Linked DNA regions of Danio rerio. The protein of the gene in region 1 interacts with the protein of each later gene in a pairwise test. Links are inferred from orthologs where the notes say so. Each region holds a gene or a part of one and is shown in the gene's direction. Other genes may lie near its edges.

Region 1 (5,335 bases):
AGTGCGGAGGTACATACAAGACAAAAGTTAGGGAATAGCATGTGTTTTTCAAATTACCCTAAATGGCTCCTATGATTAATTTGGTCTGTTCAAGCACAGTATACAAACTATTATTAATCACTGAATACTGAATGAATTGGGTGTGCTGATTCAATAGGAGACTGACATATTGAAAGATTTCAAAATGATGTGCTTAAGAATGCTGTAGAAGTCCAAATGAATGAGTTTGCGCATTTATGGAAACTGAGTGCCTCAACGTTTGTTTTTGGTATGTTTTAGCCATTTTGAGCTTTTTTGTAGATTAAAAAAAATTGATATTAGGTTTTCCTTATTCTGACATCAAATCCTACATTCTTCATAATATGTTAAATTATATGCACTTTCTACAAGCACTTTAACTCCATTGCAGCATCTTATATGCCTGTTTTTCAAACTAAACGCAGAAATAAAAGTTATTTGTGACACTCAAGGTTCTTGATAAAGGCACTAATGCGTAAAAGCATTTTTGTTGTTGTTGTTGTTGATGTAATTGGAATCTCTTTTTGTTTTTCTCAGAGTGTGTTTGCTTGCATTAGGATAATTAAGAGTAAAACAGACGCACGTGCACAAACAGCTGTCCATATACTGACAGACATGCATATGCATGCATAAATGTTTTATTAATCAGACCTATTCTGCTCTCACTATGTAGCAGCACGAAATTGTTGCCTAGCTGCTAAAACAAAGAGTGACAGAGAGAGAGAGAGAGAGAGTGTGTGTGTGTAAACGTGTAGTACAGAGCTCATAGCATGTTTTCGCGCGCGTCTCAGAGAGGTGCGCATTAAGTTTGTGTTAGCGAGCGCGCGCTCCGTTACTCCGGCTGTCGGTAATAACCGAATGACCTTTTCCTCCTCGTGTAATGTCTCACTGGTGAGGGATTGGGTTTGAAGATAATAAAGCTAGGCTTCACTATTCCTCGTTCCTCACTCACTGATGGGCAAGTTGTTGTGAGCCTTCTCAGAATACTCAATACATGACGGCTCGCGCGAGAACACCTGTAGCTTTTGGTGCGAACAACTACTCGTAGATGATCCATGTGGACCTCATTATTTTTAACCTGAAGATCACTCTTATCCGCGGTGCAATGTCAGATTCGTGAACTTTTGCTCCGAGGAATATTGAGTTGGAGTCGGTGCTATCCTAACTTAACCTTCTGCGTAACTTGGTCAAGAAGGTGAGTGTGCGCCGCTTTAATTGTCTTTACCGAACGCATTTCTTGTATTTCTTTTGGAGTTAAATACACGTACTGCTTAATGAACAGGGGTTGCTTTTATCGTTAGTGTTTAAGCTTCAGGTTTGCATGCGTCGGATCATTTGTGCACGTGATTCAATTAATTTCAGAATAAACTAATCCTGCAAAAAGCCAGGTGTGTTGTCATGTATGCACATTGTGGAGCATGCACAAAACGATTGTTTTTACACAATCTGTCTGCATGACAGGAACTAACAACAGATATTCAGAGTAAATATGGGTTCATTATGGGCATCAGTGGTTTAATGAAAAGCGTCTAACTTACACGTAACCTTTCCATTCCACAAAAGGTTTGTTATAGTAGTAAATAAGCATTCATATTATTAAATTGTTCAATGTTTTATAAGAAAACTGAAATATTTTATAAACAAACAAAACAAATTATTCCTCTGTGACTTCAGTGACAAACCACAGAAAACGTGATATATGCTTAAAACTGTAACATGGGATTGATGCATGTAGTTTATTAACACAAAAGTTATTGAATAAGAGGAACTTGGTGCATTTCTAGAGCTTGAAAGAGATTGCGAAAGCTGTTGGGTTGCATCCGTGTTTATATCCTAAAAATGTGGCACGAATCAGAAGATATGCAGTTCATGAATGCTTGATTGCGTTTTAGTATATGCGAGTTCCTGCATGTTGTCTCTTGTATACATCCAACTTCGTGCCTTTTACTGTAGCGCACTGAAATAGGCGAATAGCGAGAGGCACGATAGGATTATAAGATTACGGCGCGCGCGAAGGGGTAAAGCATATGCCTTTGTCATCCGCTGTCATTTGTTCGCCGCCACTTGCCTCGCCACGGCTGCTGGTCGATCTAATTTCATAGTCGAGCACTGTTGTGACAAACGGAGTCTTAACAGCGTGTGGCGCTGAGCGATAGCGGCTCGCTCGCTCTTTCTTTCTCCCTCCCGTGTTTTGTTGATTGGTGTTTTCGTCGTTTTCACTCTTTTCTGCCGGAGCGAGCTGGATTGTTACTTGTAACAAAAGCGAAGCACCCTCGCGCGCATACAGCTGCTCACTTCACGCGCATCTTTGGCTCGCGCCTCGTCTTGTTGCATGGTGTTTCTGGGAGCCGAAGCGGGTCAACCAATGCAGAAAAGGGAGAAAAGTTTCGGTAAGAGCTGCGTTTTGCATCATATCAGTGTGTGTGTGATGGTTTGGTTAAACGAGTGGCTGAGTACTTGGGATGTTTCCATGCGTAGTTTTGTCGCTGTGCAGCTGCATTTGACCGAGCCGACGCATTTGTCTCATTTCCCCGGTGTGAATTTTCGTGGTTTGCTTAGACAATTGTAAATAACGGGCTGTGGTGAGTCGCCGCGTATCATCGTTTCTAACACGTTAGCGGTTTCATTTCGTCGTTTTGCAAGCTGCAAATCTTATTGGCCTTTTCCGTGCACTAGGCTGCCATGGCAACAGTAATTAAACTGATAAGAGGGTGAAATGTCAGCATCTCCGGCTCGCGCAGCTGTGATGTGAAATCAAATTGGTACTTTGCGCCCGGTGTTTGCCAAGTCTCGCCTCGAAATTTCCCCCATCAGTATCCGCGAACAGGGAAGCGCACAAAGAGCATCACTATGCGAACGGGACATGATGAAATATCTGAGTGAGCAAAGACAAAAAAGACACCAATGTCCCGGGCCTATAGGGATGAGTAGCACATAAACGATTTTAGTTGCGAATTCTTTCGTGCGTAACGATCCCGTTCCGTTAATGCTGCTTTTAGCACTCCTGATGAAGAAATGCTGAACTGAGCTTCGTATTGTATTTACTTTGCTTAGACATCTATTGCCAAACCATGAGATCCATGCAGATTTTATATAGGCTAAACCTTATATAAACTTATATAACATATAAGAAATGTATTGTAGTTCTTTCCAAAGATGCGTTTATACAGACTTTATGAGATGTCACGTTTCAGAGCTGCAGAAATGCAGTCAAATGTGACGTGTTTAACCAATATAAAGATGCTAAATAAAAATTGTGACGTAACAAAAAACTGTGACAAGGCTTAATCCATTTAGTAAAATAAAACCAAGCCTGATACTGATTATAAAAATACCCCTATAATAAAAATAAATGACATTCGGTAAGTATTACACCTCACAAGCTTTAAATGGGCTATTACACTGTTATAATTGTTTCTTAATTTCAAGTGGAACATAACGAAAGTAATAATAACAGAAGTTCAACCAACCGTCATGTTACTCCAGGAAAAGCTCCAATGATTCCCTAATTTTGAATCGCTAAAAAGAATCGGCTCACAAGAGTCATTTGTTCAAAAGTCAAACTACACTATTAGCACTGCATGTCTCGGATTCACTAAAAACAACCGACTCATAAGGGTAACTCGATTTGGATTTAGGCTGTACTGTTCAACCGGTATGTTTCATATTCACGAAAACGAAACCTGAATCTAGAATCGAACTATATGATTCCGATTCACTAATAAGAACTTGTTCAAACGAGTCATGAGTTCATGATTTGAACTAAAATGACCATGCTAAGTGCAGAAAACAGTCTCAGTGTGGTTCAGGGCAGTTTTTCTGCATCAGTGGCAAAATCATTTAGTTTTTGTGTTTATAAAATGCCTACCCTGGCCCAATCCTCGTGTTAGAATAATCTTTTGTTCACTATTTGAAATAACAAAATCGATGAGGCCATGAACATCCCACACTCCTATTAGAGAACACCGAATTGGGCATCCAAGCTCTGAATAGAAGGTCTAGTTGGTTTGTTTCACAATCGATTCATTTGGGACTAACAGTGATTGCAGACGGAGGGGAGTCGAAACTCTAACTTCTTTAGCTTGGTAATGAGAGGCGGTGACTTTGTTGTGTTAACCAGACGAGCTAGGGCTGTGCGGATGAGTGGGACTGAACAAGGACGCATAGCAGAGGAAATCAGCCGTGTGCTTCTCTTACAATCCAATCCAGCCAATTAAAAGCTCAACAGCTTAAACACAATGGGACAAACAGTGCGGCGGTGCTACCTGTCTGATGTGCCTCCTTGCTGTTTTCCCCTCATCAAGCCCTCGCCTTTGAATAAACTCAAAATAAAGCATCATAAAAACGCCAGTGAGGTCGAAGGAATCATCATTATCCCTTGCCTCGTTTTCATTGAATGTTCCTACATCTTAACGAGCATGGTCTTACAGCAGAAAGAAGTTGTTCACAGTCTAAGCCTATGGTACTGCATCAGATATTTGCTCTAGGCTATAATTATGACCCTAGAGGGATCGGCTACCTGCTGTTCCTTTCCCTGCATTGTAATGCTCAGTTGAATTGAAACAATTTCACACCTGTCCTCAGTCTTACTAATTGGTGCACTGTCTTGTTTATTTTCTGTGAGGGCCAACTGCCACGCTTTTGGCAAATCATTTTTGAAAGTAATTATCGTCAAGGCCACATGTTAAAAAAAGAGAAGCGGCAAACTCTCTCTCTGTTAGCTATGGAAGAGTCTTAATGGTCTGCAAAAGTGTTGACATGCACGACTATTTAAAGGGATAGTGCAGCCAAAAATAAATTCTAACATCATTTACTCACCATTGTGCCATTCCAGACCCTTTCTTCCGTAGAATGCGAAAGCTGATATTACGGATGTTTCACTTTCATTGCATGTTTTACTTTTTTTCATCCAAACACTGAAGCTCTTGTAATGACACGAGGGTGAGTAAATGATTTTTGTGTGTGTGCAGAATCTAACACTTTTCTTGTCAAGTAGTCCAAACAAGGCTTTTTAATCTCATATTCCTCTATGAATGTATTTCAGCGAGATTGCCTGGACAACGCATCGTGGCGACGAGCGCATTATAACTATCCCGAGGGAGGTCCTCAATTCAGACAGAGACACTCAATTTACCACAGCTGAGAAATCTCTCGGTGACCCTCTCACTCAAAGTTCACAATTTCTCACTGCTTGCGCTCTCACCCCCTCCAAGAGCAGCATATACATTAGGTGGAATCTATGGCTCTGACAGCTTCTCCTGCACAAGGTGAGAAATGGGGACTGTCGCAGAAGCAGGACAACGGGGCAAAATCAGAC
Region 2 (4,162 bases), on another chromosome or scaffold:
CTTGTCCTAAATATGCATTACAAGACTTTTCAGTATATAAACTGTTCTTGTTGTCTGAGGAACATTTTAGTGTGTGTCTTTTGTAAAGTAGTATTAATTATTCTTTGCTCTGAAAAATCAAGCAAACAAACAAAGAAAAACATAATTAAAGTACCCAGTTCAATGTACACAGCCCAAAAATTAAAGATGCTTTAATCATTTATTGTTTTGATGCCAGAAGGCCTCTTTTCTTATTTGATCAGTAAATGAAAAAAACTCATTTGTCTGTGTGTGTGTGTGTGTGTGTGTGCGTGCGTGCGTGCGTGCGTGCTTGCGTGCGTGTGTGTGTGTGTGTTTAGTTTTCACAGAAAAGTATTGCACTGCCAATGGAATTGAAAAGCTTCCTGGCCCAAGAGATTGGGTCCAGATTCTGCAAGATCAGATTAAACTTGCCCGTCGACGCTTAAAAAGAGGTGAGAAAATGTATATGGCGTAAAACAAACAAAATCGCTGAAAATTTTGTAACTTTTCTGTTTCTTCTAGAATTATAGTTGAAAAAATAATAAAAATAATTTTAATACTATTAATTTTTTCATCAAATTCTTAATTTACTTAATTTATCTGAAATGTTTTGCAGCAGAGACCACCTCAGACAGTAGTGATATCCAGCTCAAAACAGGTACTCAGACACACTGACACAAACATTAGTGATGGCTGCTTTCGAAGCTTTAAAACCTGAATTTTTGTTTCGAATCAGTTTGTATCAAACTGGCAAAGTTACATGATTTGAAGAAACAGGGCTTTGTTACATCATAACTGTTTTGAAACAATCAGAAAATGTTATGGTTTTTCTTTGGGGGACAAGTAATACTAATATGAGTTTGTTCAGATCGCCCCCCCAGTGGTGAATCACTGAACATTCATTCATTCGTTTACTTTTGGCTTAGTCCCTTTATTAATCTGGGGTCACCACAGCGGAATGAACCGCCAACTTATTGGTGGGGGTGGGGGTTTCACCTTTATTATGATAAGACAGTTAAGATTTTAGACAGGAAAGCATTGGGAGTGAAGAGACAGGGGAAGGATCGGCACAGGACCTTGAGCCAGGAATCAAACTCAGGTCCCCGTGAGCACATCAGTGCTACATGTCAGCGCACAGTACCACTAAGTTGTTGGTGTCAACAACTTCACTTTTACGAGTTTGTAGCAATTTTAGTGATACATTTGTAAAATGAAAAGTAATAATATTAGTTAATAGTCTCTTGTTGTCCTGATTAATAGAGTCCACGACAAACGAATAATATAACTGTTGAAAATTTATAAAGTAACGCATATTATGCAAATACTTAATATTTAATGATATTAGATGATAAGCTAATGCATTTATAAGTTATACATTAAATAGCGTGTGCAGTGTGATTGGAAAAGCTCATTTTAATGCATGTTTTGCCTGTTTTAGTTGCATTTACAGGGTTTTGACCAGTAGGTGTCTCCAGGATGGGGTGTTTTCAACATTTTAAAACAGTGAATCATTTTTCGAAGCAATTGGTTCAGCTGTAAGTGCTTCAAACTGGCTTCCATTTGGAAGGGCTCATCCCCATCCCCTAATCCTTTCCGAGGGTCCCTCTGAAGGGACAAGAGGATAGGGGTGAACTCTTCCCCATTGAGTACAGTGTGTGACACCAAAAAACTGCCCTGCTCAAAGGCACACATCAGGTATTATTTAAAACCCTTCATTCCAAAGGCCCCTTGGAAGTAGCAAGTTTTGAGCACTTCACTTTGGAATGACATTTCAATATGGCGGCCAGGATTATGTTCACTTCTATGTGTCCTTTAGGGTGGGATATGTCCCATTTGGAACACACCATCAAATGAATGAGTGTCTCTAACCTGATGATATCCCAGCATTCTTTGCAACACCAAAAGATTTAGCAAACTGATGTTGAAATGCATTGGAATGTTGTTCCTTCTTGCATTGTATCATCCTTGTCTTGTTATCTTTTAGAGAAATGTCAGCAAACTGTTGATAAAGTGGAAACTGTGACACTAAATGGTACTGCATTGCACACCTTAAACATCTCGCACTCCAAATGTGCCTTTGTTCTGACGAAACTCTTTCTTTTGTACCGCAGGTGCTGCTTTTGAGAGAACAGAAAGTCTAGTTGCTATGGACACTGCCTGAGACGAGATTGTTTTCAACAAAATGCAACCTCCGACCCCCACAAAGGAGTCATTTTTAATTATTTTGTCCGTCTAGACTGTAGCATGTATGGCAAGACGTGGCAAAGTGCTCACGGTCAGCTGTGAGATCAGTAGGACCCCTGCTGGCGTTCCAGACAACTGTGGACACACTTTTGTAACAGGTATTCATGTTCGTTTTAAAAGTGAGTCGTCCAGATGTCACTGAGTGTCTTCTATGAATATATGAAAGTGTTTGTCGTTTTTAAGCTTCATCCAAATGCTTCGCCAACAAATATCAGCAGAAACGCTGATAAGAGATGACTGTGCCTTTAATTCACTCTGCCATGCCAAGCCACAGAAAGTGTAAGCTTGTTTCCAATGAAATAAAAATGCAGATGTAATTGCTAGTTTTATTTCACAATTATGGCTTAATTCCAGCAGTTCCAAGAAAAAAGTGAGAATTGTTTGATATAAATTCATAACTATAGGGAACAAAATTGCATGATATAATCTGAGAATTGCAACACAGGCTCATTGTGAAAATGTACCCTCGTATACATTTCTGGAGTGCACTAAGTATGTAGCTAGAGCTACGTATAGCTGCATTTCACCTTTAAAATGAATGCTACAGGGCGGTATGATGCCGCCTACTGCTTCTGTTTCTTTTCATCACCTTCGTGTGGACGACTTTTCTGCTGTTACCAGTTTGCCCAATAAACAAACTGGCAAATAAACAAAATAAACAAATAAATAACAGGGTAAGAATGTGGGAATATCTGAAAACGTGGTAAAAATCAAGCAGGAGTGAGGGCTTTTCTTTTTCTGGAATGGTTTTGGAACACTGTCAGTTGATTTTAGGGAGGTGGTGGATGGGCCAGTCTATATCTTTAAGTGTGACGTCACGCGAAGCGGCTTCCAGGTCCAAGTGCTGGATCTAACAGAATGGGGAAAATGATCAAATAGTAATAATAAATGTTTACAAAGCGCTGTAATACTTTCGAAAATCACGATTGATCTATATATATATATATATATATATATATATATATATATATATATATATATATATCTCCATGCCTAATATTTAATGGCCAGAAAGTGATAAATGTTTTATAAATTGCTAAAAAAAATGTTCATTTGTGATGCAGCAAGTCCAGAGACTGATGTGTACACTGTCTTGTTATGTAAAATTCACTTTAATGTGTGATATGACTAAAAAGTGGTCATAAACGAATATTTTCTCAATTCAAATGAGTAGCGGCCTGGACCCGGAAGCAGTATTCCATATGTAACAGATACGTCATGACTTAACAAGCAGATCGGTTGGGTTTAGGGATGGGGTGGGTGGGGTTATCAGTCGCTCAGTCAGTCAGTCAACAGCGACCTCCGGTGGATTTATGTGAGAAGAGCATATGCAAATGGCACTTGTAAGAGAAATTTGAGATCTAAAAAAAAAAATACACAGCTGCCTCTGGCGGATTTGCGAAAACTGCAAAAAAACGTAGCTCCTGGGACGTAATTTGCGCTCTCCATAAATGTGTATATGGGTATGTATCAATAATGACTCTGTGTTGCAAGATATAATTCCAGAATTGCAGGATTTGAACTCTGAATTGTGAGAAATAAACTTTGAATATTGATATATAAATGACTTAGCACTGCATAACTTAAACAGGATTGTCAGATAATAACACAGAATTATGGCATAAGCCAAATTGTCAAATATATGATCAGAATTTCAAGAAATAACCTCAGAATAACATGAAAAAAAGGCTGAATTGTTCAGGATAACTTTGTGCTGATATAAAATTGCGCTGATATAAACTCAACATCATGACATAAATAAGTTTGCCAGATATTAAATTATAATTATGAGATAATTATTAGCAGATTTGTCAGATATATGCTCAAAATTATGATATAAATATAGAATTGTCAAATATAAGCTTAGAATTGCAAAATATAAACTCAGAATTACGAGATAACAGTCAGAATACTTAAA
Region 3 (5,221 bases), on another chromosome or scaffold:
ACGTATTAGAGGATCTTTAATTCCTTATGTCTTTATTCATACAGCAATGCTTATTAATTAGAAAATGCAAGTATTGTTTTCTAAACAAGTAAATTTACTCCACAGCCATATTGAGCTTAAATAAATAAAAAGCCTCAAAGGCAAGTAAAAATCTAAAAGATAAGAAAATAATCATTTATGCTACACCTTGCAAGTATTTTTTTTTTATTAACCAGCTCTTTGGTTGTTTCACATTTAGTAGGCAGTCTTAAACCACCTGATTTAAAGGGCAAATGCATTATCCAAATGCAGGTTGCAGATAACAAACAGATATTTAAAGAGTTAAAAGTAAATATAGACCTGTCTGTGATCCAAGTGCAGTGAAATCTAATTTTACTGAAGCTTGCATCAGAAACAACAATCATTTACTGCGGGGCAGCATATTCATTTACAGTAACAATAGCAAGGCTCAGACATTTACCTTTATACATTTTACCGTTTCATCACAATTCATTTGGACAGACAGACAGACAGACAGACAGACAGATAGATAGATAGATAGAGTTAGATATTTATTTTTAGGTTTACTGCTGTTCACTTTAAGGTTAACTAACGCTAATATTTACTGGAAAGTATGAAGAAGGCAAATGAGTTGTATATAATCTAATTTCTACAATACAACTATTTCTTTTACCTGAATATCCTAGTCAAAATTTGGCATAAAGACCTATGACGACATCTTAGTGGGATTTTAAACGCGACGACAAACGAAATGCGCATGCGCTTAAATATAATTCGGATTATATGTAATAAATATGCCAATTATACAACAGTATTTTAATTACATCAACGGAGATATGCATTTAACTTATATATATAACAATACACAGTCATATATAGACTTGACTGGAGACGACAACGACCACAAGTAAAACTATATAACGTTACTCGTTCAAACACTTATTTAACATTATGCAATATACATCAACAAGAATTCAAGTTTATTACCTTCCAAAAGGCGCTGGATGATCGAATCGATGTTTATTTTGTCCGATTCGGCCATTTTGTCGCGCGCTGGAGATTAGCCGGCTAACAGTGCCAGTAACGAGACCGCTGGGGAACCCGCCCAATACAAATTCACGACAATACTTTATAAAAACGTCGTTACAAAAGAGTCATACTACTGTTGGTATTCCTGAGTGTACTTTACAATGTTATTGCCGCGAATGGTCCCTCCGGTAGTTCGTTGTGTGAGGTAAACTAGCACCACGACCGTTTACGGTTGAAGGAAACGGTAAAGGGGTGGGGGTAGACATTAAGCGCGTGTCTGATTGGTTATTCTCGTCTCATGACGAGCCTTCAAACATGAGATCTGAAGAGCCAATAGGATATTTAATGTGTCAATCTTTTTCTATATAATTCGTCGAACTAAACACGGTGTATAATCTCAGATTCACAGGATAATCTTTTTGAAACTGTAATCCTCGTCATGATGGACATGCTAAATCTTCTTAGGCTGGATAGTTAACATACTTCATTAGCAACGATTGAAATCAATTCAGAAAATGTCGCGTTTAAACAATATTCGAAATATAAAGGAATACGTTCTTTCAACCCACGGAAGTAACCATAGATAGAAATGACGTGGTGACGCAATCTATCGGCCAAATGACGTGATCAGAGAGCGACATTGCGAATCGTCTGATTCATTCTAAAGTAGCAGAATGTGCTATTGCTGAGGCGGAAACGTTACCAAAACAGACTATTAAATAGAGTAGATTACTCATTATCAAAGATGTATTTTGTTTTTGAATAGTTAACCTCATTGACCATGAAGTTGGTTCATAAAGACATCGAGAAGGATAATGCCGGGTGAGTGTTTGTGAACACGAGTCTACATGTACACCACTTTTGGGCATTATATTTACCAGTTGAGTGGGGTTGTAGTGCCATGATGCGATGTTGGTATTATATGACAATACAATAGAATAATCGGATACTTTTGTATAAATGAAACATGGTGGCGTAATAACGGATCTTTTCTGTTTGTAGAACCGACACCATTATAACCCAAAATGCTGGCTGTATTGCTTACCCAGTGTTGTGTTTTCAAACTTGGCAGGATTGTTTCACATTGCCACAGCCCCAAAATTGCGTTTGCCTTGCTCGTAGCGCCCCCCTTTGACCACCTGCGCTTTTATAGCCCGGTGTTTTCAAACTGGGGTCTTTACGAGGACAAAGAAGGGTGTGTAATTTTGTTTGGAAAATGGAAAAGATAAGATAATTTAGTTAATGAAATAATATGCTTAAAGTAAATGACAATTTTAAGATAATCACACGGACTAGTGTAATATAAATAATTGATATATAACAGGCCCGTAGCCAGTCTGGTAAAGGGGTCTTTTTTCATTTTTTTGCAGTTATGCTTCTCGTTTTCTGTTTAATTATAATATTTAAATACGGCATTTTAACATTTAAGCATTATTTTTTAGGATGGTTACCACACTTTTTGATATACCAAAAATATTTGCTAAAGATTTGGAATAAAGAAATGTAAAATAATATATTTTTTAAAATATTTGTATTTACATATTTATCACATCGTATATTACTAGAAAAAAATAGGAATCTGTTTAAGTTTTTAATTTAAAAGCTGTAGTCTATTGTCATTTATTAGGCACATAACAAACTGCTCAGCACATTAAACAGTCCTTAGTTAGAATTTGGCCATTAGAATAATAATAAAAAAATGAATTAAAACATAATAATAATTATATTATAGATTTTAACCTAGAGCTTCACAAGTTGTCTTGCCTCTCTTGTAAAAAAAAAGTACATTTGAAAATTCATGGATGACAACAATAGCCAAAATAGTATTCAAATCAATTGTAATATGGTCCACTTTTGGAGCTTTACATACTTTTATTGCTTTTTTTTTTCAAGAATAAGCTCCAAGGTTTAGAATAAACGTTACCTGTAAAATGCTTTCTTTATTTTAAAAACAATGAAGTAGCAAATGATGACTTCTCTTAAAGCAGATTGTTCAGGCTGTCCACGGGGTCTTAAAAGTATTAGAAGTTGATAAATCAATTTACAGAAAATTTAGGCCCTTAAAAAGTAATAAAGTCTTAAATGCTATTTTGCAAGGTATTAAATTTTATATCATTTTTGATTAAGCAATATATGATTGTATGATAAAGTGTGCCTGAATTAAATCTGCGAATACCAGGATTCTGTGTAGTTTGTGAAATCGATAAAATTCTGCTAGATTTTACATCATGCTGCTTTGTTTACTGCAGTAACCAAGGCAACACTATTATTTTTGTTGTTCTATAGGCTGCTGAATTAGCTAGATTTAATAGATTTTTATTGAGTATATAAGTAATGTTTTAGTTTTGGATTGGTTTCTTGCATTAATATTTAGTAAATATATTGTCATTTAAAATATCGGCAGTGTAAAATATCGACGTTGTCCTGTGGGTGCCATCGCATCATCCAAGTGGATGTTACAAACTGGTGGTGGTGTGGAGAGACACCCTCATGATTGTGAAGCACTTAGAGTGTATATAAATACACATTATATTATATTATATTATATTATATTATATTATATTATATTATATTATATTATATTATATTATATTATATTATATTATATTATATTCATGTATGGGGTAAATTCGGGGCCTTCGTTAGTAAGGGGGGTGTCTTCCGAGCCAACCTAATCCTAACCATTTTGAGGGATGTAAACATAATTTCTACAGCTTCCGAGGACCCATACATATTGATAAATATTGTTTTGATGGGTATTTTAACATTAGGTTATGATTGAATTGTCTCTTGTTACAGTTATGAAATTGCACGTTTTTGCGCAGCGCATGCCCTTCCAGCCCCAACCCATCTCTGGGAAACATCCACTCACACACTTCTACACTACGGACAATTTAGCCTACCCAATTCACCTGTACCGCATGTCTTTGGACTGTGGGGAAAACTGGAGCATCCGGAGGAAACCCACGCGAACACAGGGCGAACATGCAAACTCCACACATCCAAAGATGCTTTATAAATTGTCAATAAATCAGTGTTTTTGAAACTAATGAAGACAGCAGAAGTCCACGATTCACTTGAATTATTCAGCCTAATATGTTTACTTTCCTAAAATATTTGAAAAGTTTCTCAAAATAAATACATTGTTTAAAGGGGGAAAATGTTTGTTTTTTTACTCAGACATTTGAAAAGAATATGTTTTAGAGCATGTTTTATGCCTAGTCTCAGATAGATAGAGTTTTTCTTAAGTTTGTTTTTCTTTTAAACCAGGGGTCTCAAACTCAATTTACCTGGGGGCCGCAGGAGGCAAAGTCTGGGTGAGGCTGGGCCGCATAAGGGATTTCACAAAAAAAAAGTCCTCAAATGTCATTATTAACAGTTTTAATTATTTCTTCTGAACATGAAGTGTCCTGAACATTAATAGAACATTGAGTGAAGATTATGAACAGTTCTTCTGAACATGGCATCTTTTGCCTATTTCTTGCTGCCAGAGACTTGACAGCGCTTCTTCTCACAAATCTGAACCACATTTGGCTTTAGAGCGGAAGCAGTTGAGACCCTCAGTATGGCTTGAAGATGATCATCATTAAGTCTAGACCTGTACTTTGACTTATTGAAGTCCTAGGGAAAAAAGTGGGGGAACTCACTCAAAACTTCCATTCCCTCACCTAAAAAAAAGGCGTATATATGTATAAATAAAACACCCCCACCCCACTCCAGTCACATCAGTCTGTACCAGTCTGTATCTACCTATAATATCAATATATATAAGATGCAGGGCAGGCACGTGCACACATAGGGCTCAACCTGTGCAGAGCACATGCCCTTTTTAGTCTTGCATAGAAAGTGCCCATCCAAAATGATCAAAAGTGCCTCTGCGACGCGACACACATAGTCCCGCCCTTCAGTAGGGGCGCGATAACACCGCTCTTGAGTACGCGCGCGACAACACAGCTGATCAGAACGCGCGCGACAACGCGCATTGAGTGACAAGCGCGCTGTGTACGGATAGAATCAGCGGAGCGGGGAGCGCTCTCTCTCCCCGCTCCGCTGATTCTGTCAGAGTACAGCGGTCGGCGCGGGACACAAAATATTGCACTGAGGGCCGCAAATGGCCCGCGGGCCGCGAGTTTGAGACTCCTGTTTTAAACGATATTGGCGAAAATGGGCTAATGATAACTGTTTGTTTCAG
Region 4 (4,567 bases), on another chromosome or scaffold:
AATTAATATTATTATTATATTTATTATTATTATTATTATATTTATTATTATTATTATTATTATAATTATTATATTTATTATTATTATTATTATATTTATTATTATTATTATTATTATTATTATTATTATTATTATTATATTTATTATTATTATTATTATTATTATTATTATTATATTTATTATTATTGCTATTATTATTATTATTATTATTATATTTATTATTATTATTATATATTATTATTATTATTATTATTATTATTATTATTAATGCCTTTATTTTGCCATGGACAAAAGCACAATAAGATTAAAAATATTTTACCAGAGTGTCCTGACCAAGATTAAACCATATACAGTTTGCATGGTTTTAACAAAAATAACAGAATAACATCAATTAAAACACGTATACCTTGCCGTTTATAGCTGAGTTGGTTATGAATTTAAACGGCTTTTTATTTTATTTTATTTTTATTACTGTCTTTTCTCGTTTTAAAATGGTCAAACTCATTCTTGAGCTGCAGCTGATCATAGAGGGTTGGAACAGATCTTTTCATCCCAGTTTCTTAGCAAATCCTGTTTATTTAAGCGTAAAAGTTGATTTTGCATCGTCCTTCAATGCAAAACCAAACCTAAATATCTGTATACAGGGCTTTACATTAACTTTTTGGATCACCAGCCACTGTGGCTAGTAGATTTCCAACATTACTAGCCTCTTGCTATTTTCACTAGCCAAACTATTGTTGTTGGGAAAACATGTTTTATATGCATACATTTGACTTTTGCATCCTAAAATGACTTGATTTAGATTTTGTGTTATGTCCACATGCCTCCTCATTCATTTCACCTTGTGTGTGTGTTGTGTATGAGCTTGCTCAATGAGCATGAGCAAATGGGTTGTCGCAATTAGTTTTTATTTTACATGACTCCTCAGGGATCAAAATTAAGGATTTACCAATTTTATCTCTGACCACACCAAAAAATTAAAATGTGTCAAAGCAAGCAAAATACAGCTGTATACATGTGCTTTTTAATTCAATAAAACTTTTCTTAAAAAAAAAAAATTACACTACCTTTTAAGAGAGGGCAGGACCTGGGCATACTTCCATGTAGAGATAATATTTTTTGCCAATTTCAATGACATGAGTAAAAAATTGAATTTTTAAAAAAAATCAGACTTTTTTCAATACCTCCAGGTTCATCACTTTCTTCAGACCCAGTGCTCTGTATTCCCTCAAATGCCTGCTGAATCTGGACTGGACTTAATTTTAAAGACCCTTGTACACCACAAAGGCCTTGCAAAATGTACTACTTGATTATGACATTCCGTTACGTAACACTAGAGAATATTAAAATGGAATGGATAGAACAACTAGGAATTAATGTTTCAGATAAAGCAGTTGATATTATAAACTAGACTTCATCATGTGCGCGTCTTAATCTGATTCAGATTAAATTTTTGTTCCGTATTCACTACAGCAAAACCAAACTGGCTAAAATCTTTATAGTATTTGTTAATTGTAGTCTTTTATAGTTTGTCTATGTTGTACTTCAGAATAAGAGTGTTTTCCTTCTGTGTTTTCAGGCCTCTGCATGTGCTGGTGTGTAACGCTGCCGTCTGCTCACAGCCCTGGCGTCTGACGGAGGACGGGTTCGAATCCACCTTTCAGATCTGCCACCTGGGCCACTTCCTCCTGGTGCAGCTCCTGCAGGACGTCCTGCGGCTCTCGGCTCCGGCACGGGTCGTGGTGGTTTCCTCCGAGTCCCACAGGTCAGCATTTCACATCATTCCTGCAGACGTATGCAGATATTCAGTAATTCTATACACTGTATTTTAATGATGAACATGCACAGGATTGATATTGAGGACACTGCAAAAAATACAGGGGTTGGACAATGAAACTGAAGCACCTGGTTTTAGAGCACAGGAATTCATTGGTGTAGCTCCTCAATACACCATCAAGTGGCAGGTTCAAGTCCTGCACAGCGGCTAGAAGGATTTTGAGCCGTTCTTCTTCAGAATAGTGTTCAGGACACTACTGATGCTGCTGGAGGAAAAACTTTCCTGACTCGCTCCTCCAAAACAGCCCGAAGTGCTCAATAATGTTTAGATCTGGGTACTGTGCAGGCCATAGGAGATGTTTAACTTTTATCTTTATCAGACCACTCTATCTATCTCTATCTACTGTCTCCAGTCCTTCTGTGTGTATTGCTGCATTATCGTCCTGATACACACCACTGCCCTCGGGATACAATGTTTGATCCATTGGGTCACATGGTCCTCCAGAATGATTGGGTAGTCTTTTTTCATGTAATATTATGACTTTATTACTGTAATATTACGACTTTTTTTCATTTAATATTATGACTATTACTGTAGTACGACTTTTTTCATGTAATATTACGACTTTATTACTGTAATATTACGACTTTTTTCATGTAATATTACAACTTTATTGCTGTAATATTACGACTTTTTTCATGTAATATTACAACTTTATTGCTGTAATATTACGACTTTTTTCATGTAATATTACAACTTTATTGCTGTAATATTACGACTTTTTTCATGTAATATTACAACTTTATTGCTGTAATATTACGACTTTTTTCATGTAATATTACAACTTTATTACTGTAATATTACGACTTTTTTCATGTAATATTACAACTTTATTGCTGTAATATTACGACTTTTTTCATGTAATATTACAACTTTATTGCTGTAATATTACGACTTTTTTCATGTAATATTACAACTTTATTACTGTAATATTACGACTTTTTCATATAATATTACGACTTTATTGCTGTAATATTACGACTCTTTTCATGTAATATTACGACTTTATTATTGTCACATTACGACTTTACTCTTGTATCACAACGGCTTTGTTCTCGTAATGTTATTACTTTAATCTTGTATCACTAAGAACTTATTTTTGTAATATTTTGACTTTATTCTCATAATATTGCGACTTTGTTCTCGTAATGTTAGGACTTTAATCTCATATTAATAACACTTTATTTTTGTTATTTTGAGTTTTTACAATTAAATATTACAACTTTATTACTGTAATTTTACGACTTTTTTCATGTAATATTACGACTTTATTACTGTAATAATACGACTTTATTGTCACATTATGACTTTACTCTTGTATCACAACGGCTTTGTTCTCGTAATATTATGACTTTAATCTCATATTAATAAGACTTTATTTTTATAATTGTACAACTTTATACATGTAATATTACAACTTTGTTCTCATATCACTACAACTATATTCTTATAATATTACTACCTTATTATCATAATATTACGACTTCATCCTCATATCACTACGACTTTGTTCTTGTAATATTATGTCTTTGTTCTCGTATCACTAAGATCTTATTTTTTTAATAGGATGACTTTATTCATCTATTATTGCAACTTTATTTTTGTAACATTACGACTTTACTCTTGTATAACGACTTTGTTCTCGTAATATTATGACTATATTCTTGTATCACTACTACTTTATTCTCATAAAATTGTGACTTTATTATCATAATATTACAACCTTTATTTTCCAGACATGTGTTGCAGCTGGAAGGGAATCCGCTGCGTAAAACGTGCTGGATAAGTTGGTGGTTCATTCCTCTGTGGCGACCCCAGAAAAATAAAAAGACTAAGCTGAAAAGAAAAAGAATGAATATTACGACTTTATTCTCATGTCACTTCAGCTTTGTTTTCGTAATATTATAACTTTATTCCCATATCACTAAGACCTGATTTTTTGTAATATTATGACTTTATTGATGTGTAATTGCGACTTTATTCTTGTGATATTATGACTTTATTATCATAATATTACAACTTTACTTTTATATCACTACGACTTAATACATGTAATTTTACGACTCAATTCTTGTATCAGTATAACTTTATTAAAGTAATAGTACGACATTGTTCTCGTATCCACACGTCTTTATTCTGCTAAAATGTAGTCTGTATTCAGAAAAAAATACGACTTTATTCTCATATCACTACAACTTTGTTCTCGTAATATTTTAACTTTATTCTCGTATCACTAAGACCTTTTTTTCAATAGCATGACTTTATGTATTATTGCAACATTATTATTGTAATATTACGACTTTATTCTTTCGCTACAACTTCATTCACATAATTTTATGACTTTATAATTGTAATGTTATGACTTTATTCACATGTAATTGTAATATTATGACTTTATTCACATATTATTGTAATATTGCGACTTTATTCTTGTATGACAATGACTTTATTTTCATAAAATGTTTTATTCTTGAAACGTTTACAATAACCTTGTAAAATACAGTATTTGTGGAGTACAGATTGGCGACTCTTGAAGTTAAGAAAGCATGATTATTAAATAAAGCAGATTTTCGATGAGCTCCATTAGATTAACAAGCCCCGCATGAAAAACCGATTCACCAACAGTAAAATCACTGACTGCATGTGACTGCAGGAACTCCTCCATCGAGTCTCTCAGTGTGTTTTTATTATCCACAGTTCCTCCATCCTCCTCATCTCTATCAGTTCCAC
Region 5 (4,567 bases), on another chromosome or scaffold:
AACACATCTGTTTAGCTGTGCCGTTACTGTATAAGCACTGTGCTGCGTCCGACAGATTGCACTATTATGTTTTTCGTTTTCTTTTTCATGTTTTTATAACCTATTTTAACTCATTTTAATTTGTTTTTATCTGTTTTTAATATTTTTTATTGTCTGCATTTTATGTTCTAAACTTGTCGTTTTTTATTCCTGTTTATGTAAAGTACTTTGAATTGCCACTGTGTATGAAATGTGCTATATAAATAAACTTGCCTTGCCTAAAACGTGTTAAATACTTTATATAAAAGGCTTTTTTTAATGATGGCAGCTTAAAGACGCCTCTTGTATGGAGAATGAAGTCACATGAATTGCTCAGGTGTAAGTTTTTCACACACTTCAACAGTGTGCAAAAATCTTGATGGTTATGTGGGTCTCATCTATCAATAAATGACATTTTCATCTGGTATTAAATATAATTAGATATTTTACCAATTTCTGTATTTCTGTTTCTCCAGTCGATGTTGATATCCATCAGTCAGGCGATCTGCCAGCGGCTGGACAGTATGGAAGCAAAGCTGCAGGTTCTTGAGGTGACCTGTCGAGGTTTAGTGGAGAAACTGGACACAGTGATGGGCAAGAACCAGTCAACGATTCAAGTACCCATGGTGTCCGGGTCCCCATTCGGAGCCACTCAGACTTGTGACAAAGTACGCTGGTAAGTGGACCATAGGTCATGTGATTTATACACCAGCACCATTCATTAAATGGTTGGTTCTGTTTATTTTTTTCTTTATTTCTGCCCGTTTTTACGGCGTACAACATATGTTATAAATGACAACAGGGTCCCCGCGGGGTCTTAAAAGTCTTAAATTAAAAAATCGATATGTATGGCTTTAAAAAGTCTTAAATTCGCTGTTCTAGGTATTAAATATTTTTGCACAGGTCTTATTTTTGCGATGTCCATGTAACGCTACATCTAATGCTTATTTAAATTCTTTTTGTTGTTGTTGCTAGGTTTTTGGGGTTTTGTAGTTCTTTATTTTACTAGTCCAATTGTAATTTGCTTTATTACAACCACAAAAAAAGTCAACTTGCGATAGCCAATCAGCTTTCTGATATTAAACTCAGTGCGCGCGGCGGATGTGACATCATCGCTGTGTTTGCGGAAGTTCGCTTTGAGTGCGTGCGACATGATTTTGGCTGGCAGAGTATGCCGTTATTTCACTGACAAATGTCGCAAGCGCAGTTTTATAAGTCAGGAGTGCTGTAATACGAGAGAGCGAATCTCTGCTCACGCGCAGGTTTCCTTTGTTCATGGACAAAACTGCTTGCGAGCTCTCAAAACACTGGCTGCTCACATGCAAATTATCTGCTCTCGCTCCGCCGGACTCCTTTCGTGCTTTTCCAGAGATGCTTCAGCATACTGTAGTATTAAGAATAGTGAACTGATAAAATGAAATACAGTGTAGTTTTACTACTGTAAAGTGTGGTGAATTTTAGAAAAATATACCTTATATTGTAAAAAAAAATAAATAAAGCACTGGGTAGTTTGTTTTTAATACACTTGTTGTGTTACCATAGCAACTATAGTATTACCACAACAGAGTAATTGAAGTACTTTACTGTACTTCACAAAACACTGTACAGCAGACACTAGTTCACTTTATTTTAGTGATAAAATAGGATTTATAGTGGGATTTATTTAAAGAGTGAATAGTACAGTAAGCTATAATACCTAATCAAGTTTTTACCTATTTTCTATCACAGTTACATTTCTGCTTGCCAGAATGACCAATAATTATTGGCTAGAAATTGCAACAGCCATGGGAAAGGAGGAAAGTTTTTGTAAAACTTTGGAAAAACTCCGAGGGATAAGTTTGTTAAAACAAAAAAGAGGCCCCCAAAAACATCTTCAATGATAATGATTATCTTTTTATTCGTCTGATTTTACTTTCTGTTCTTTTGGACCGCCCCCTGTCATTTAAAAAAACATATCTCAATGGTGAACGTGTCAAGTACAAAAGCCTTAATCCGTTTCGTGAGTTGTGCGATGCGGTGCCAGGTGAAAGTATAAATCTGCATTAAGATGTGTTTTTTCTGTAGTTCAATGGTGCATTTAACCTGACCTTACTACTGTTCAATTTAAATAACTTTATTTTAGCCCTAATTTTGTGCTTTTACATTTTCTCTCGCGTGTTCTGATATTGTGATATAGGTGTTAAATTTAATACTTAATGGTCTTAAAAAGGTCTTAAAAGGTCTTAAATTTGACATTATGATATCTGCAGAGACCCTGATCATAATACAAGTCCCAGTTTGTTTTCATTGCATATTAAGCATTTGTTCATTTTTGTATTATTATTAGTATTAGTATTAAAACAGGCTTTTTTTAAAAAAGGTTGCAACACTTTTAAAATGTTTTTGCCCATTCATTCATTAATTCATTCATTTTCTTTTTGGCTTAGTCCCTTTATTATTCAGGGGTCGCCACAGTGGAATGAACCACCAACTTATCCAGAATATGTTTTACACAGCAGTTGCCCTTCCAGCCGCAACATATCACTGGGAAACACTCATATACTCTCGCATTCACACACATACACTACGGCCAATTTAGCTTATTTGATTCACCTATACCGCATGTCTTTGGACTATGGAGAAACCCACGAGAACATGCAAACTCCACAAAGACATGCCAACTATTTATTTTGACACTAACAGTGAGTTTTTTTTTCCTAGTGTTGTTCCCCAGACAAATGTCATAGTAAGTGGAGACAGGGCGAAGACGGAGGAGACTTCGCCACGCACATCAGACTCTTTAGAAAATCTGCTCAGCAAGTGAGTACTACACATTCATATTTTGGCAACTCTTTACAACAAGGTTCCATTGGTTCATTTTAGTTAATGTTTTTACGAGAATGAACAAAAAAAATAAACAAAATTTTTTATTAGGAAATGTATTATTGTTTGCAAATGTTGGTTAATAAAAAGTAGTGTAAAATAATACACATTCTTCACATAAAATTGTCAGTGTAAGGGTGCTAAAGTTTGTTTTACAGTTGGCGGTTCACTTCAGTTATTTGGTACGAATGCATTCAAATCAGAAGTGAACCATACCAGAGTTTGCACGAACCGTACCAACGACAACCTCTAAACGTACCGTACTCTGAAGTCAAACGAATTCGAGTGAGGACCAAAAGTGCTAATCTGAAAGCGCTGTAAGTCTTCTTTGTATTTTTGTGTTGCAGTACTGTAGGGCGAGGGAGACAGAAAACCATAGTACTGAAGGTTCCAGTTCAGGAGGAGATTCAGGATGATCAGGAAAGTGGTTCGGAAACGAGCGATTCGGTGTCCAACAGCGGCCAGCCTCAGAATAACAACAATGTAACGCTCATCACTCTTAACTCAGAGGGTAAGATTTACAAATATTGGATGTTTAAGACTTAAAATGACCTTTGTGATAACTAAGTGCATTTGAGCTAGAACAATTCCTATTGAAATGTTGGTTCCGCTTTATATCGTATGGCCTTAATTACTTTGTACTTACATTTCAGTTAATCATTTTGGGTCAGTGTAATTATTATCTACATGGATGTTTTTACAGTGTAGTTATATTTTAAAAATGATGATCATTTCTGTAAATATATTTATACTTATACTGTTGATCATCTCTTACACCTAAGCCCACCCTTAAACCCACTAAGACCACCAAACCTTTCCATAACCTTTCTCATATCCCTCCTCAATAACACCATGGGCTCTATTTTAATGATCTAGGCGCAAAGTCTAAAGGTCATGGTGCAAAAACATCAAGGGCATGTCTAAGTCCACTTTTGCTATTTTAAGGATGGAAAAATATGCTTTGTGCCCCTGGTCTAACAGGGTTGTGCTTAGTCTCTCTATTTTTAGTGACAAAAATTAGTAATTGTGTGGTGGTAATTCATAGAAATTTGCGGACAATTTTGCGATAAATATATATATATATATATATAAATAAATATACATACTATACCAAATACACACCATATTAGGTAGCCTACTATGTTGGGTGCGCAATCTGACACAATGACACAAATCATAAAAATAAAGCTTCTTTCAGTCAAGATCTAAAACAGACCTAAAACAGTGGAAATTAAGCCAAAGGAAGGTTTTATAACTCTTATTTTTATTCACAATCTTAATTTCTCTTAGATTTCACTCCCTGGAGCTTCTGAGATCAGCTTCCTCACTCACGATTTCCCCTACCGTAATACACCTAAAATACAATAAATATAATAATAAAATATAATGTCTTGCCAAATTTCCTTTGAGGGAATCAACTCAAGTTCATTTTTTAATTGTTTCGACTTTGTACTGAAGTTAGATTTTGTGAGGAGATAAAAGAGTAAATCACACCTATAATACCTTTGAGAACTGGGTTGGTTTTTAAAATGGTGTCAAGTAATGTTTCTCTAGGTAAAGTTGGAAAGTCTACTGTATTAGAAATCATAAAACTGCGGATCGGTAAATATCTAAAGAAATGTGTTTTGAGGATATTGTATTTTGTTCTTATTTGGTCGAAGGACATGAAATTGGTATCGCTACATAA

Evidence for each region.
Region 2: the proteins of lmo3 (region 1) and bend7 interact in binary tests that used the Homo sapiens proteins (3 or more experiments, as listed by UniProt). The two-hybrid records come from large-scale screens. The link is inferred for Danio rerio from reciprocal best matches to the Homo sapiens genes LMO3 and BEND7.
Region 3: the proteins of lmo3 (region 1) and pelo interact in binary tests that used the Homo sapiens proteins (3 or more experiments, as listed by UniProt). The link is inferred for Danio rerio from reciprocal best matches to the Homo sapiens genes LMO3 and PELO.
Region 4: the proteins of lmo3 (region 1) and wwox interact in binary tests that used the Homo sapiens proteins (3 or more experiments, as listed by UniProt). The link is inferred for Danio rerio from reciprocal best matches to the Homo sapiens genes LMO3 and WWOX.
Region 5: the proteins of lmo3 (region 1) and banp interact in binary tests that used the Homo sapiens proteins (3 or more experiments, as listed by UniProt). The link is inferred for Danio rerio from reciprocal best matches to the Homo sapiens genes LMO3 and BANP.

Annotation. Positions count from the first base shown.
Region 1 is NC_133179.1:13,188,788-13,194,122, forward strand, and holds the start of lmo3 (LIM domain only protein 3), read left to right. Parts: upstream 1-2,145; 5' UTR 2,146-2,350; coding exon 2,351-2,408; exon of another isoform or gene 2,409-4,959; intron 4,960-5,062; exon of another isoform or gene 5,063-5,257; coding exon of another isoform or gene 5,258-5,285; intron 5,286-5,335.
Region 2 is NC_133193.1:9,562,577-9,566,738, reverse strand, and holds the end of bend7 (BEN domain-containing protein 7), read left to right. Parts: intron 1-338; coding exon 339-452; intron 453-616; coding exon 617-658; intron 659-1,984; coding exon 1,985-2,032; intron 2,033-2,111; coding exon 2,112-2,161; 3' UTR 2,162-3,157; downstream 3,158-4,162.
Region 3 is NC_133187.1:13,774,557-13,779,777, reverse strand, and holds the start of pelo (protein pelota homolog), read left to right. Parts: upstream 1-1,702; 5' UTR 1,703-1,810; coding exon 1,811-1,851; intron 1,852-5,221. Other genes in the region: ppp1cab (protein phosphatase 1, catalytic subunit, alpha isozyme b), read right to left, coding at 988-1,042. UniProt on the Homo sapiens protein: Component of the Pelota-HBS1L complex, a complex that recognizes stalled ribosomes and triggers the No-Go Decay (NGD) pathway.
Region 4 is NC_133200.1:39,687,324-39,691,890, reverse strand, and holds part of wwox (WW domain-containing oxidoreductase), read left to right. Parts: intron 1-1,579; coding exon 1,580-1,765; intron 1,766-4,567. UniProt on the Homo sapiens protein: Putative oxidoreductase. Acts as a tumor suppressor and plays a role in apoptosis. Required for normal bone development. May function synergistically with p53/TP53 to control genotoxic stress-induced cell death.
Region 5 is NC_133200.1:32,863,532-32,868,098, forward strand, and holds part of banp (protein BANP), read left to right. Parts: intron 1-494; coding exon 495-694; intron 695-2,718; coding exon 2,719-2,817; intron 2,818-3,227; coding exon 3,228-3,391; intron 3,392-4,567. UniProt on the Homo sapiens protein: Controls V(D)J recombination during T-cell development by repressing T-cell receptor (TCR) beta enhancer function. Binds to scaffold/matrix attachment region beta (S/MARbeta), an ATC-rich DNA sequence located upstream of the TCR beta enhancer.